Mus musculus: one gene and its partners. The protein of the gene in region 1 interacts with the protein of each later gene in a pairwise test. Links are inferred from orthologs where the notes say so. Each region holds a gene or a part of one and is shown in the gene's direction. Other genes may lie near its edges.

Region 1 (4,797 bases):
CATGGCAGCTCATAACCACCGTGTTACTCCAGTTCCATGATATCCCACACCCTTTTCTGGCTTTTGTTGGCACTGGCCACACATATGGTGCACAGTCATACGTGCAAGCAAAACTCCTATAACACATTAAAAAAGTAAATAAATAAAAATTTAAAAATAAAAAGCAACGCAGAGAGGCAGGGAGCTGGGAGTGGGTCTGGGAGCCCTCACGTAGGATAAGTAAACTAATCCAGACCTGTCTGAACTTTAGATGCTTGTAAGGCCATACAATTCCTGAGAACCCAGGATGGGAAGGAGTAGTTCTATAGGGGACTCAATCCACATGTATACTCCAGTTGGCAAAAGCGTTGACTTCAGGTGTCTTCTTCAATCTCTTGCTATCCACTGTATCGCTGCTGGCTGGTCAGCAGGCCATGGGAATCCTTCTGTGTCTGCTTACCTAGTGCTGGGATCACAGGCATGCTCTGTCATGCACTGGGGGGCAAAACTCAGCTTTCCATGCTCTGGCTGTACTCACTTACAGGCTGAGTCATCTCTCCTAGATTTAAGGTTATAACATCTATCCGTATAATTTATTTGTGGATATGGGGGTTTTGCTGAATGCATATGTATGGACCATGTTAGTGCTTGGCGTCATCAGAGGCCAGAAGAGAAAGTAGGATCCACTATAACTGGGTTTATAGAATTTTGTGAGTTGTTCTGGGTTCTGGGAATCAAACCTGGTACCTCTGGAAAAGTGGCCAGTAACCACTGAACCATTTCTCCAGTCCAAGGCTTTTTTTTCCCCATTTATTTATTTAGCTTGTGTGTTTGTTTTATGTGCGTGACACAAAGGTCAGGACAACTTTGTGAGTAGCTTTTTGACTTCCAGGTTTATGTTGTGGCTCAGAGATTTGAACTCAGGTAGAAAGGCTCATGGAACAAGATCCTTCACCTACTAAACCATCTCATAAGCCCCAGCGAGCAGACGGACATAGAGTTTAAGAATATTCCTGTTCCTGTCTGAATTGAAAGAGGGATTAGGCATTTCTGCTAGGCATTCCTGTCCAAGAGCACCTTTACTTCCTACCTGGGGAGAGTGTGAATTTTTGTCTGGGGCCCCTGGGGAGAGTGCGAATTTTTGTGTGTGTGGGGGGGGGGCTGGCACGTCCAATCCCTTGTGCTCAGATGGTTTGAAATTTGACTAAGAAAGGACAAAAACAAAAAACAAAAAAACCCGCCGGGCGTGGTGGCGCATGCCTTTAATCCCAGCACTTGGGAGGCAGAGGCAGGCGGATTTCTGAGTTCGAGGCCAGCCTGGTCTACAGAGTGAGTTCTAGGACAGCCAGGACTATACAGAGAAACCCTGTCTCTGAAAAAACAACAACAAAACCCTAGAAGTACCCTTCAGGAGATTTCGCATTACTAAGGCAACGACCCTTTTCGTGCACCCAGGAGAAAACTACAACTCCCCTAATCCTCACGGCTACCCAGCCCCTCCTTAATGGAGGCGGGGCGCGGGCGAGCGCGGAACCGGCTTCCTATTTCCTGCGGCATGATTGGCCCGCAGCTCGGGCGCAGCAGCCAATGAGCACACTCTCGGAGAGCGGCGAGGGCAATATGGCTTCCTGCACCTGGTGACGGTTGAGGGAATTGAATTTGGTATCATGGAGAAACCGCGGGGCACTGAGGTAAGAGGGAAAGGGCTCAGCCCAAGCGGGAAGGGGAGCCCCAAACGCCTCGCTCGGCGGACGCGCCGTTTTAGCGATGTCTTAGTGGTGGACAGTTGCAGGATTGGTAAACTGAGGTACGGAGCTTAGCCTCGGCCAGAGGCCCCCGAGGTTCCTTTTGGTCTGGTGACGAAGGAAGGATGGCAACGCCTCCCTAGCCAGGGGCAGGGAAACTGGGCTCTGAACTTTGTCTTGGTTTCATGGTTCTGAGCTTTAGGATCGTGCGGCCTGTCCCTTCCACGCGGGAAGTGAAGGGAGGAAGATCGGAGTTGATTCCTACTCCACGCTGGGAGCGTTCACGTGCTGGTCTCCCCGTACGCTCACAGCCATCTTCTTTAGGGAGGGATTAAAACAGCCCTCTGGGTCGACACAGCTGCAAAGTGCAAGAGGTTGTCACCAAGTACGTCAGTTTCCAAAACTGCGTTACGCTTTTTCCGTGGTACCGCAGCCGGTGACCCACCGCACCTTGCATTTGAAGTCTCTTGCCGTTTCCTAGCGGTAATAATTGCTAAGCTTTATTGAGCACTGTTGAGTGTTTTACGTTTATCATCCCTTCCCAAAATATTATTAAATAGTGGTGTTGTCTTTATTTGGTGGAAACCGAGGCAGTGCATTTGACTCGCTGTGCATCGTACAGCTAGGAAGCACTAGAGATCGTATTTGAACCTTGGCCCAAAGCGTCATTCTCTTTACCTCTGTCTTGCCCAACAAGCTAGGCACGTTTTTTCCTATTACAAGCTAGGTACGTTTTTATGTAGCATTTCATCGCTACCTCACATTCTGTGAGCCAACAGCTGTCGTGGATGAGAAAATTGTCCCACAGACCTTAAGTGACTTGCCCCAGGATCAGTAGCTGATTTCAATCAGAGCTCAACTCACGGCTGTGGTCCATACCACCATACAATTAGTCATCTGACTCAAAGCCTCCTTGGGATAGCCTGGGTCTCAATTTTCTCAGTCTTTTTTTCTTTTCCCTGTTTTCCTTTAAGGAAGAAAACAGGTTTATTGGATACATTGCAAGGAGCAGTGGTCTAGGCAGCAGCAAGAGGGCCTGGCAGTCTTAAATTTGTTTCTGAGTTGAGATCATTTGGATGTACATATACAGAAGAGGGAAGAAAGAGTTTCAAATGCCTTCTAGCCCAGTAAAAATTTTTTGAGGTGCTTAGGATATTTCCACATTATTGTGTAGATCTCTGATCCCTGGCAGCGTTTTTTGACCTGATAGTGGTGTGGAAACAGTATCTTTTCAATAGATGCTGTTCTTTGAAATTGGAATTTTGCTCTGTACCCAAGCTACCAGTATGAGGGGTCTTGGTGCTGAGCAGAGGCTCAAACCAACCACAGCTTGCACTTAGCCATGTGGTCATTGGAGGAAACAGTCCATTCTCTTTTCTTATTTGTTTGTTTATTTATTTATGTGAGTACACTATAGCTGTACAGATGGTCATTGGAGGAAACAGTCCATTCTTTTTTCTTATTTGTTTGTTTGTTTATTTATTTATTTATGTGAGAACACTATAGCTGTACAGATAGATGGTTGTGAGCCTTCATGTGGTTTTTGGGAATTTTAGGACCTCTGCTTTCTCTGGTCAACCCCACTCTCTGCAGTCACCCTTGCTTGCTCAGTCCCTGCTTGCCTCGGCCCAAAGATTTATTTATTATCATACATAAGTACACTGTAGCTGACTTCAGATGCATCAGAAGAGGGCGTCATATCTCATTATAGGTGGTTGCGAGCAGCGACCATCTGGTTGCTGGGATTTGAACTCAGGACCTCCGGAAGAGCAGTCAGTGCTCTTACCCGCTGAGACATTTCTCCCGTCCTCTTTTCTTTCTTTTCTTGTTTTGTTTTTTGGAGAACTTGTTTTGTAGACCAGGCTGGCCTCAAACTCACATAGATCTGTCTGCCTCTGCTTCCTGAGTGCTGGGAATAAAGGCGTTCACTACCACACCTGCCTTTTTCTTTCTTCTTGTTCTTCTTCTTTTTTTTTTTTTTTTTTTTTTTTAAGAGGATCTACTAGCCAGAGGGTGGTGGTGCAAACTTTTAATCGCAACACTTGGGAGGCAGAGGCAGGCAGATCACTGCATTCTAGGTTAACATGGTCTACAGAGCTAGTTCCAGGACAGCCAGGGCTACTGAGGGAAACCCTGTTTCAAAAAAAAAAGAAAAAGAAAAAAGAAAGAAACAAACAAACAAAAAGAAAAAAGAGAGTGAAGAGAGAGGTGGGGGTGTTGGGGTCTACCGTGCGGTCTGAGCTGACCTGGAACTTGCTGTGTAGACCAGACTTGTTTCAAGCTCAGGGTTCTAGGATTAATGGTGTGTACCACAATACCTAGCCTCTTATACCTAGTCTCCTAGATGTTTTAAATGAATATATACATATATAGATAGATAGATAGAGATATAGATATGTATATAGATATGTGTGTGTGTGTGTGTATATATATATGTTGGTTTTTAGATTTATTTATTTATTATTATATCTAAGTACACTGTAGATGTCTTCAGACGCACCAGAAGAGGATAGAGGGCATCAGATCTCATTATGGATGGTTGTGAGCCCCTATGTGGTTGCTGGGATTTGAACTCAGGACCTTCCAAAGATCAGTCAGTGCTCTTAACCGCCGTATATTGGTTTTTCTTTTTTTTTTTTTTTTTTTTTTTAAGATTTATTTATTTATTATATGTAAGTACACTGTAGTTGTCTTCAGATACACCAGAAGGGGGCATCAGATCTCATTACGGGTGGTTGTGAGCCACCATGTGGTTGCTGGGATTTGAACTTCGGACCTTCGGAAGAGCAGTCGGGTGCCCTTACCCACTGAGCCATCTCACCAGCCCCGTATATTGGTTTTTCATGCCATGATTTCTTTGTGTAGCCTTGGCTGTCCTAGACCAGGCTGGCCTCAAACTCACAGAGATCCACCTGCCTCTGCCTCCTCACTGCTGGGATTAAAGGGGCGTGCCAGCCCCCCACCCCCAGCTCAGTTAAGAGTTCTTGCTGCTCTTTCAGAGGACCAACATTCAAATCCCCAACTCATGCTGGATGGATTAGCCAGTTTGTAACTTCTCGTTCTTGTCGTTTTC
Region 2 (5,019 bases), on another chromosome or scaffold:
CTAAGAATAAGTTGTAGTTTGTTTGTTTATCGAGACAGGGCCTCATTGTAGCTATGGCAGGCCTAGGATTTGCTATGTAGCCTCAAAAGCTCCAGATCAGTTTGCCTCTGCAGACCTCTCCAGTGCTTTGAGCTAGTCACTGCACCCAGCAAGTTGTAACTAATTTAAAAAACAAAACAAAACAACAAAAAACATAGTCCCCTACACCATATACATACACACATTCTCAAAACAATTTTTTTGGGGGGAGGGGGGTTCAAGACAGGGTTTCTCTGTATATATAGCCCGGGCTGTCCTGTAACTCACTCTTTAGACCTGGTTGGCCTCAGAACTCAGAAATCCACCTGCCCCTGCCTTCCAGTTGCTGGGATTAAAGGCATGCGCCACCACAGGGTGGCCCCAGATGCTTTTTTTTAAATAAATGTATGCGGAGTATGTAGAATGTCAAATAAGACTCTGCAAAAGGACAACTTCTAGGCTAAGTCTGGTAAGAATAATCATTAGTGATGCATGTAGCACCCACATTGATAAAAAGGGTTACTGCCCAGCTCTGGTCTAGACATTGTTGCTACTGTATTGTAAAACTCCGTGATAGAATAGTTTTTGAAGAGAGACAAAACCCTAGTTTGTATTATTTCCATAATACTGTCAGTGAAGTCAAGAAACAAATTATGGAGGCAAAGGTCTTTTTTTCTTTGTTTGCCCCAAAGGCATCTCCCAATTTCTCATAGCTATAACTACTTTTAAACTCACGATCTCCAAACCTCTAACTGCTTTCAGGCTGACAAATCTGCTCAGTAGCTCTGCCCTTGCAAACAAAGCTCTTGCAAGCAGGAGGCCCCGTGCAAAACAACAACAAATAGAAAAACCTTCAAGTGTTGCAGGACCTTCAGCACCACCACCCTACAGAAGCTTATCTCTAGAACAGTTCTAGTTTCAAGGAGATCTGAACGGTCCCTTCCCAACCTGGCTAGTGAAAGCAAACTCCAGAGTAACTAACCCGCGACGAGAGATGCACATTCTTGGGAGCTAACCTGTAAAGAGCACTCGGGAGCAACGCGACAGCCTAAGTTAAAGTCTATGCAGGCAAAGTGTACCCCACCCCCACTTGGTCAATATCCTGAGTAGGTACTTGACTTGATTCTCGAGATTCACCCTCCTAGCCCTGATCCCCCCTTCCCAGTCATGATCCACCCTCATTGTCTTGCGTTCCCCGTAGCACAGAGCTGGGAAGCGGCTCGTGGAACTGTGCAAATACTTGCCATTCCACCCCCACCCCTCCATCCTGTTGCTCACCGGTGCTGTAGCCCCACGAGTCCCAGAGTGATCACATGCGGCACATCTAGCTGCGTGGGCCAGTCTCCAGAAGCGATGCACCCAAACACACCACATTCCTCGCGGATCCCCAACTCCTCCAGCTCCATGGCGCCTCGGAAAGCACGTGGAGGGACCTGCTGCCGCGGCGTGGTCCAAGCACCAACCAGCTGTCCGCTCCGCTATCGAACGCCTCAAGAGGCTCGCGCTACTGACTGCCTCCTTCCCGGGCGGGCTAGGTTCTCGCTACTGCGGCGGCGCGCTTCATAGAAGGGGCGTGACCAGTTCTGCCTCCCGCTCTCCGCCAATCAGCTAGGGCAAAGAGAGGGGCGGGGCTACGGAGTCAAAGAGGTGGGGAGGAGGCCGAGGTCAGGATCGCTACTTTCTCTGCACGTGGGAGGCTCCGTTATTTTCCCGCGCCCAAGGAGTAGGTGATGAGAGTGGCGCAGCTGATCGCGTGGGTCCCTCAGAAAACCTGAGCCGTTCGTGCCCCCTGGTCTCACGCCGTCCCCCGGCCGTCAGGACTTGGTCCGCTCCAACCCAGAAACCTCTCCGGCCAGCGGGGGCCTTGCAGCATGCGCGCCACTTTTTGGCTGCCTGCGGGGAGGGGCCGCCCGGAAGCGGGGTCGCGTCAGCGCGCCTGCGCGGCGGGAAGCCTGGGGACACGACTCCAGCCCCAAGCACAGCCAGCCCGGTACTTCGGGTTCGCCGGTGGGCTGTGGGGCTAGGGCGTGTCCTTGATATTGCACCTCCCTTTCCCGCCCTCTGATCCTGTGGTCGCCCTTGTTTTCCAGAACACTGCCCTTTTTTCCCGCGCGGTCTGCTCCTCTAGTTCACCTCGGATAATGGCGACAGCCGTAGGTGAGTAACTTGCTTTCGGACCCTAGGGTCCCCCAGCCCTCCGTCAGAGAGCTAGCAGGCTTGACGCATACACGTGCGGCCCCGAGGTCGGATGCAGGCCTTCCGACAAAGTGCCTGATCGGGTTCCCCAAGACGGCGCCTGGGGCCCGGAGCCTGCACACATGGTCCAGGCGCTGGAAGACGTGCGTTAAACTCTTAAGCACCCAGAGCCTATTTAAATAGCCAAAAGAAGGCCCCGGGACGGGAAGGAAAGTAGCAGAGTGGGAAAGTACTCTGAAGGTGAAATGGCCAGAAACTAACCAAGTGCCTAGAAACCTTGTAATAAGCAGATAAACAACCAAGAAAATCTATCAGGGTTTTTGTTTATTCTGGTAAAGTTAATATGCCAATAATCTCCTTTACTGCAAGTTTCGTAGTTTAAAGTGTTTGAAAACAGGTCCAAAATTTTTTGATCAGATGCTTCTTTGCAATCCCTGGAATTTGGGATTGTGGGCGTGGGCTAGTAACACCCTTAGGATATGGGTGTGGAGAGTGCAAAGTTACTTTATCCACTAACAAAACACTGTCTTGGAACAACACAAGTTTCTAGATTAATAAGGAAGCAGATCCTGTGGGCACTCCAACATTCTTTCCCACCTATGAAAACCACCCTGAAGTTTATAGGTAGTACAGCTCCATAAAATTGGGAATTAGGGCCAGACTTTTTCTGAGACAATCCACAGCGCCAGTACTTCTAAACTAGTAAAAATCTTAGAATCTAACCTCTTCCCCACATCTGATGTGGCCCTGTGCTGACAAGGGTCCGAAGAAGGTGTTCATATCTATAGTTTAATTTTGAATGGCTGTAAACTACCCTATAGATTCTGGGAACTGGACCTGGGTGCACTGTAAAACATCGGAGTGTTCTTAATTGCTGAGCAATCTCTCTGGCTTCTATTTTACTTTGTTGGTTTTGTATCCGTGGTTGTGTGCACTTGAGTACAGATGCACAGAAGCCAGGGCCTGTCTTGAAGCAGGAGTACACATGAGCCACCCAGTGTAACTGCTGTGAACTGAATTTGGATCAAGTATTGACTAAAACTCGTGTCTCCCATATTAAATCAGTATCTTGTGTCTGTTGCTCTTTAGTATTTAGCAGCCCAATGGTTCTTGGGTTAAATCTACATAGCTAATGAGTTAGTAATGAACTAGATAGAAGGCAACAGTGGGTCAGGCTGAGTATAGAGATTTTCAAGAGGACACAAACATTAAGGAAGTTAGAGTTCCAGAAAGGAAATTTACAGCTCAAAACTGGAGTTAGACCATGAGGGGCTTTTTAAACTTTGTTAATTCTTCTAAACATTAAGTTAGGAAGATGGCTATATTCATCTTTTACCTCACTGAACTATAGTGGAAATATTAGACAAGTTATTTATCACCAATGTCAACCAGAATCAAATTTAGCGTAGTTGAGGGAAAAAAATTACATTTATTTAGTGCTAATTAGAATTGTAATCTTAGATACCCAAAGGCAAGTAGGTTGGAATAGTGTATTTAGGGTTTTTTGTTGTTGTTGTTGTTTGTTTGTTTTGTTTGTTTGTTTTCAAGACAGGGTTTCTCTGTATAGCCCTGGCTGTCCTGGAACTCACTTTATAGACCAGGCTGGCCTTGAACTCAGAAATCCACTTGCCTCTGCCTCCTGAGTGCTGGGATTAAAGCTGTGAGCCACCATGCTCGGCGGGTTGTTTTTTCTTTAAAGGTTTATTTAATATATATATCAGTACACTGTAGCTGTCTTCAGACACACCAGAGGAGGGCATCAGATCTCATTACAGATGGTTGTGAGCCACCATGTGGTTGCTGGGATTTGAACTCAGAACCTCTGGAGGAGTAGTCAGTGCTCTTAACCGCTGAGCCATCTCTCCAGCCCCAGTGTATTTAGTTTTTACAAGATGCCCTTTTTATGGTTTTAAACAAGAAAGCTTCATAACAAATCATTCACAGCAGTATAGTTAATATTACCAAAAATTGGGATTTCTGATGAGAAGAAAACTATCTCTGGGTAGTTTGGGGGGAAGAGTCAGTATATTGTAGGTAACAGGCTGTAAAGCTGATGTTCCAGAAATGCAGTTTGGTCCACTCCAAAGGTCATCTCACTTAGTTGTGGCCAACTAAAATTTGATCCAAGAAAGGAATTGGCCTCCTGCATCCATTTTTCCGTACACTGCACCAGTGATAGGCCATTGATTTTTCTTCTTGGACACTTAACTGCTTCCTGTGCCAGCTGGTGGTGTGACCTGATCGGCTCTTTAAGTTTGGGGTTTTGTTTTTGCCTATTTGGTTGTGTCTTGATCACTACCAAGCTACACGGTCCTGGAACACTAAGTGCTTAGCCATGCTGACCTTGCCTTGGCTGCTTGGTCTTTCAATTACCCCTTGTTAAAGTCTGATCTTTTTTCATGTCTGTTCAGCTTTTACTTCATTCTCGACTTCTCTGTAGGGTGTGCCTGCTGTGAATAGTCTCTACCTTGTATTTTATTATAGTTTCTTATCAATTGCCAGCTTCCTTCGAGACTTAGGTCCCCTGAGAGCAGAAACTAGATTTCATTTGCTGTTCTGTCCACAGGCCCTGGCACACAGATACATTGGAAAAGTACTGAGGATGAGTGTTGCAAGATACCTGATCACACTGTGAACCCCAAGGATGCGTTACTTACTCAAGAGTGCTGTTTCTAGTTGTGATGTAGGTCAGCCCGTGGCACATATCTTTAATCCCAAACAGCAGTAAAGTTAGTTTGTAGAAGGAAGCAGCCATGTTTGAAAGTGATGTCTAATTTGAGTGGCAGGCAATCTGATGAATCAGAA
Region 3 (4,872 bases), on another chromosome or scaffold:
CTTCACCTCTACATTATTTGTCGGCTCTATACTTCATGTGGATACACTATATATATTTCAAAGGAGGAGAGAAGTGCTGGGCTTACTTTCTGGAGCTAGAAGCTGTGGCTGTGAAAGGGAACTCGAATTCTAAAATCCAAGAGCTAGATCACCACCACCTTTTCTGGTTTGGTCCCCTACATTCTTGGAAGTGTTGTGGGGAGTGGAGGGGATGGGGGGTGGGGGATGTAGGCCTGCCTCTCTGCCCCTTGCCTTTGTCCATTGGACCTGTTGTCTTCCTGGTGCTCTTTTCAAAGGGTGGGGTACGGCCTTTCCTGTGGCGAAGTCTAAGCACTAACATCAATATAAATCCTGTCCAAACACCATTGGACAATTGGCTTCCATTTCCAGGAATTCCCAATCCTGTGTCCTGCAGGTGACTGTGCTGACTCTGTCATATGATTTTGGGAACCTTCCCTATGTTCTCCTTGCCTGACTGGGTTCCGTTCAACCTGAGTGCTGCTGTGACTTTTCCCGTGGCCATGGGGGCCACTACGCCAAGGTCACAGGAGAAGCAGTTGTAGAACAAATGAGCCAAGAGCGCCTTGGGGATCCTGGGGTGTGTGGAGTGAAGATGGAGAGGTGGGGTGGAGAAGTCAGAAAGGACTCAGGAGAAGGGGATCTCAAAGAGGGAGGAGGCGGAGCTCCTGGGGTGGTTGACCCTAAGGGCTGCGAGAGAGGAGGAAGTGGGCTGAGGACACTAATCCTTCATTTACAGAAGGGAGCGAGGACCCTGGTGGAGAAGGGGAGGTCGCCGCGGCTGTGGAGACCCCGGGCTGAGAGGAGGGGCTGGGGACCGGTAGGGGTGGGGTTGGTGGGAGGATACCGCGCGGTAGGGACCCTCAGCTAAGGTGCTGATGATCGGGAGTGGGGAGGACACGGCGGCGTGGTGGCGACCCCGGGCTGAGGGGAGGAGCTGGGTACGGGGGAGGGATTGGAGAACAAGCGTGGTGAAGACACATCTTTGAGGGGAGGGGCTAGGGACCCAGGTGGGGACAAGGCAGGCACCGCCGACTGAGGACCCCCGGCTGACGCGCAGCGGAGGAGGGGAGGGGGCGGGACCGCGGCGGGGCGGGGCGGCGCGGAGCCGCGGCTGACGCGGAGGGCCGGGCCGGGGGCGCAGGGAAGGGGCGGCAGCGAGCTCGCCAGGCGGCCAGGAACCCGGGTGGGGCCGGGACCGAGGCGGTGGCTGGCCAGCGGAGCTCAGGCCGGGCGCGGCGCGCCGGGTGAAGGCGGCAAGGCGGCAAGGCCCCGGCCGAGGCCGGCGGAGCCGCGCAGCTGCGGCCGGCTGACGTGAGCGGCGTGCGGGTCCCGGCCGGCAGCGCGCTGGCGGCCATGGCGGTGGCGCTGGCGGGCCGCGGGGCGCGCGGCGGCAGGGGCCGGCCCCCGGGCGGGCGGGCGGAGGGGGCGGGGCCGGGGCGCCGGGCGGCCCGCGCGACAGCGGCGGCAGCGGCGGCGGCGGCGGCCGCTGGGACTAGGCGAAGGCGGCGACGACGACGGAGGCGCGGGGCGCTTGGGCTGATGGCAGCGGCCGGGCCCGGGGCGGCGCTGTCCCCGGGGCGGTGCGACAGCGACCCGGCCTCCCCCGGAGCGCAGTCCCCAAAGGTGAGCGGAGCGCGCTGCCCAAGGGGCAGCGGCCCAGGCCGGGCTCGGGAGAGAAGAGGAGACCGGGCGGCGGGTCCTGGAGCAACAAGTGCGGCGGACAGTGGGCGCGGACGTCGGGGAGACCTGCGCGGCGGGGTGGGAAGTTGTCCGGGAATAGCTGGGACCGGGGGACTCGGGAAGAGTGCTTGAGACGAAGCGCCCCCAGCCTGGGAAAGTCGGAAAAGTTGGCGGCCTTGGGGATCTCAGTCGGGGAGACGCTGAGCGGGACGTGCGCTCGGGGTCCCGAGTTGGCAGAACGTGGTTTCACACCCACAGACCCGGCCAGCCGAGGTGGCCCCCGCCACGTGCCGGTCCTCCCTGGTGGGGTCTCTGACTGCTCGCAGGGGGCTGCTGGCTCCCTGTCCTGACCGAGGATGGTGCGGAGGGGAGGGCCTTACCTGGAACGTAGCCCTTAGGATTCCTACAGTTGTGAGCTGGTAAACTCTGTGTCAACTTCCGTTATTGTTTCTTTTCGAGAGGATCATTGTTTTTAAGTAAAAGTATTGACATACAGAAATCCTTAAAATGTCCACAAATTAATAAAATAGTGCTTAAAATTAACGGTGTCAAGCCAGTATGGACCATGAATACAGTGAAAAACATACTAAGAAATTTAATTATCTTTCAACTTCTTGATTGTTAGCTTTAAAAGGGAATATTAAGTCTACTTGATTTCATTCTTGAAGAGTGAAAAGGGGAATGATTTCTATGTTCTTTTTTAATTTGGAAAGTAATTTTAGTAAATTCCTAGGTGCTGGAGACATAATGAAATATAAAGTCACTGCTAATCACAACGTTAACATATATCAGACAGCTATGTGCTACCTGGCTCTTATGTGATCACTTCACTGCATCCTTGCATCAGCCACCTAGGCTTTAGGACTGGGGAGAAGCTTGCAGCACACAGCTGGTGGAGGGCAGTGCTCAGTAAGATTCTCTGGCAGCCCGCAGTGCCATGCTGACTTGGCATGCTAGCCTGTGCTGCCTTTTCATTCCCTTCCGTGGGCCTTTATTGAAATTTATAGTAAGAGTAGTAGTGTTAGGAGCTATAGTACCTTGATTTAAAAAAAAAATAGGAGTTTAAGCCTATTAATTAACGTAATGAATTGTTTTTAAAACATTTGATTACTTATTTCCTTAATGGAATGGCTCAACAACCTATATCTCCTATGAGTTTATCACAAAGTGTTGAATTTCTGCCGCAGAAGAAAAGGAATGTAGTTAGACGTGGTAACCTGTATCCAGTCCTTCTTCATCTCCAAAGTAGCTAATTAAAATGCGCCTCCGGGGGGCCAGTTGTAAGCTGAAGGGTACTATGAAACTTACTAGTATTTATTTCCCAGCTCAAATAGGAAGGCTTGCTTTGATTTTTAAAGTGGTGTGGCTACTAAAAAGCAGATGTTTGAACACAATCTAGTTGGTAAGAAAGTGAAAGCAGAGTACATTTAAAATACAGTTGAAAATTTAATTTCATTTCGATTAAAGGTCAGATTTTAGTTTTATTCATTCTTAAATTTTCTAATTTTTTAATCATTTAAATGTACAGGATGATAATGAAGATAACTCAAATGATGGGACCCATCCATGTAAAAGGAGGCGAATGGGCTCAGGAGACAGCTCAAGAAGTTGTGAGACTTCAAGTCAAGATCTTAGGTACTTTAAGGTTCAGTAGTAACTTTCGTAGACTTTTGCTCACTTCTTCTTCTCCTGCCTATTCCAGGCAGCAGAAACAGTTATTAAAAATTATATGTGTTGGCTGGAGAAATGGCTCAGAAGTTAAGAGTGCTTGCTTAACTGGAGGTTGGTTAGCAGCCCCACATCTCATCTCATAAGCTCCTGTAAACTCTGGAGGATCTCATGGTCCATTCCGGCCTCCACAAATGTCTGTATAGAGAGCAAACAAACAAATCTTCTAAAAAAGTCATATACTATCAAAGTAGGTCTCACTCCTGATAACTGTTAAAAAGTTATGGTAAAGTAGGTATATAAAACTCACCATTGTAACACTTTTTATATATAAAGAGTATATTTCAGTACAACCATCACTCTCGGCCCTTTCCAAAACTTTAGTAACTCAAACTGCCTAACCCTCCAGTACCTCCCATCCCTTCCTGCCTCCAGCTGCTGGTTACCACAGTTCTACTTCCTGCCCTGAGTATGAACCAGACAGTACCTGCCCCGTGTTATCTGGCTTACCCATAACCATAGTATCTTCAAGGTTCATCGTGTTGGAGCTCCTTAAGTCTGAACAATATTCCATCGTATGTTCTGCTACATTGTGCTCATTCACCTGCAGGCTGGGGTAGTTAATGCTGAAGTGAACACTGGCATTCAGACCCCTGTTCTTAATACTCTGGTATATAACTAGAAGTAGAAAGCTGTACCACACGTTGATTCTGTCTTCAGACTTTTTAAGGACCTTCCATACATTTCCATAGCAGTAGTACCAGTCTGCATTTCCACCAACAATACACCTTGCAACATTATTTTTGCTCATTTTGCTGATAGGCGTCCAGAAAGACATAAGGTGATCACCCACTGTGATTCTGTGTTGTATACCATGGCTAGTGGTGCTTGCCGAATATTTTTTAGGTGCTCTTTGATCATTTGATTTATGTTTTTGGAGAAATGTCTATTTACTTCTCTGTCCATTTCTCCACCCCTACCCCAGTTTTTGTTTTTGTTTTTGTTTTTGTTTTTTTGAGACAGGGTCTTAGTATGTTTCTCTGGCTGTCCTTGAATTTACTATGTACATGAGGCTGGCTCACAGAGCTAGATTAAAGGCATGCACCACTGTGCCCAGCTGTCCATTTCTCTTTTATTTTGTGCTGATGAGTTATGGGGCTCCTTTATGTATTCTGCATATGAATTCCTTTATCAGGTTTGTAAGTAATTCCCAGCACTCTGGCTCTTTCCCCCTGTAGTTGATAGTGTCACTTTCTAAAATCTAACTTTAATGTCTGCTTTTATAACTTTTGTTTTGAGTGTTAAGTCTAAGAATCTGTTGCTAACATAGGGTTTTCTAGGCAGCTCTTACATTTAGGATTTTAATTCATTCTGAGCTACCTTTTGGATGTGATGTGACAGGAGGTGAGGGTCTTTTCTGTAGCTTTGCGTGTTTCTGTTCTTTTGTAGCACCAGGTTTGGGTGCTTCATGAGCTAGTTTTTGAATGAATAAATGAAGCAAAC

What was found. The genes of interacting proteins can lie anywhere in the genome.
Region 2: the proteins of L3mbtl2 (region 1) and Paics interact in binary tests that used the Homo sapiens proteins (3 or more experiments, as listed by UniProt). The two-hybrid records come from large-scale screens. The link is inferred for Mus musculus from reciprocal best matches to the Homo sapiens genes L3MBTL2 and PAICS.
Region 3: the proteins of L3mbtl2 (region 1) and Phf10 interact in binary tests that used the Homo sapiens proteins (3 or more experiments, as listed by UniProt). The two-hybrid records come from large-scale screens. The link is inferred for Mus musculus from reciprocal best matches to the Homo sapiens genes L3MBTL2 and PHF10.

What each region holds. Positions count from the first base shown.
Region 1 is NC_000081.6:81,662,355-81,667,151, forward strand, and holds the start of L3mbtl2 (lethal(3)malignant brain tumor-like protein 2), read left to right. Parts: upstream 1-1,534; 5' UTR 1,535-1,646; coding exon 1,647-1,670; intron 1,671-4,797. UniProt on the Homo sapiens protein: Putative Polycomb group (PcG) protein. PcG proteins maintain the transcriptionally repressive state of genes, probably via a modification of chromatin, rendering it heritably changed in its expressibility.
Region 2 is NC_000071.6:76,949,661-76,954,679, forward strand, and holds the start of Paics (multifunctional protein ADE2), read left to right. Parts: upstream 1-1,641; 5' UTR 1,642-2,159; coding exon 2,160-2,175; intron 2,176-5,019. Other genes in the region: Ppat (amidophosphoribosyltransferase), read right to left, coding at 1,297-1,424. UniProt on the Homo sapiens protein: Bifunctional phosphoribosylaminoimidazole carboxylase and phosphoribosylaminoimidazole succinocarboxamide synthetase catalyzing two reactions of the de novo purine biosynthetic pathway.
Region 3 is NC_000083.6:14,957,883-14,962,754, reverse strand, and holds the start of Phf10 (PHD finger protein 10), read left to right. Parts: upstream 1-1,494; 5' UTR 1,495-1,560; coding exon 1,561-1,644; intron 1,645-3,229; coding exon 3,230-3,336; intron 3,337-4,872. UniProt on the Homo sapiens protein: Involved in transcription activity regulation by chromatin remodeling. Belongs to the neural progenitors-specific chromatin remodeling complex (npBAF complex) and is required for the proliferation of neural progenitors.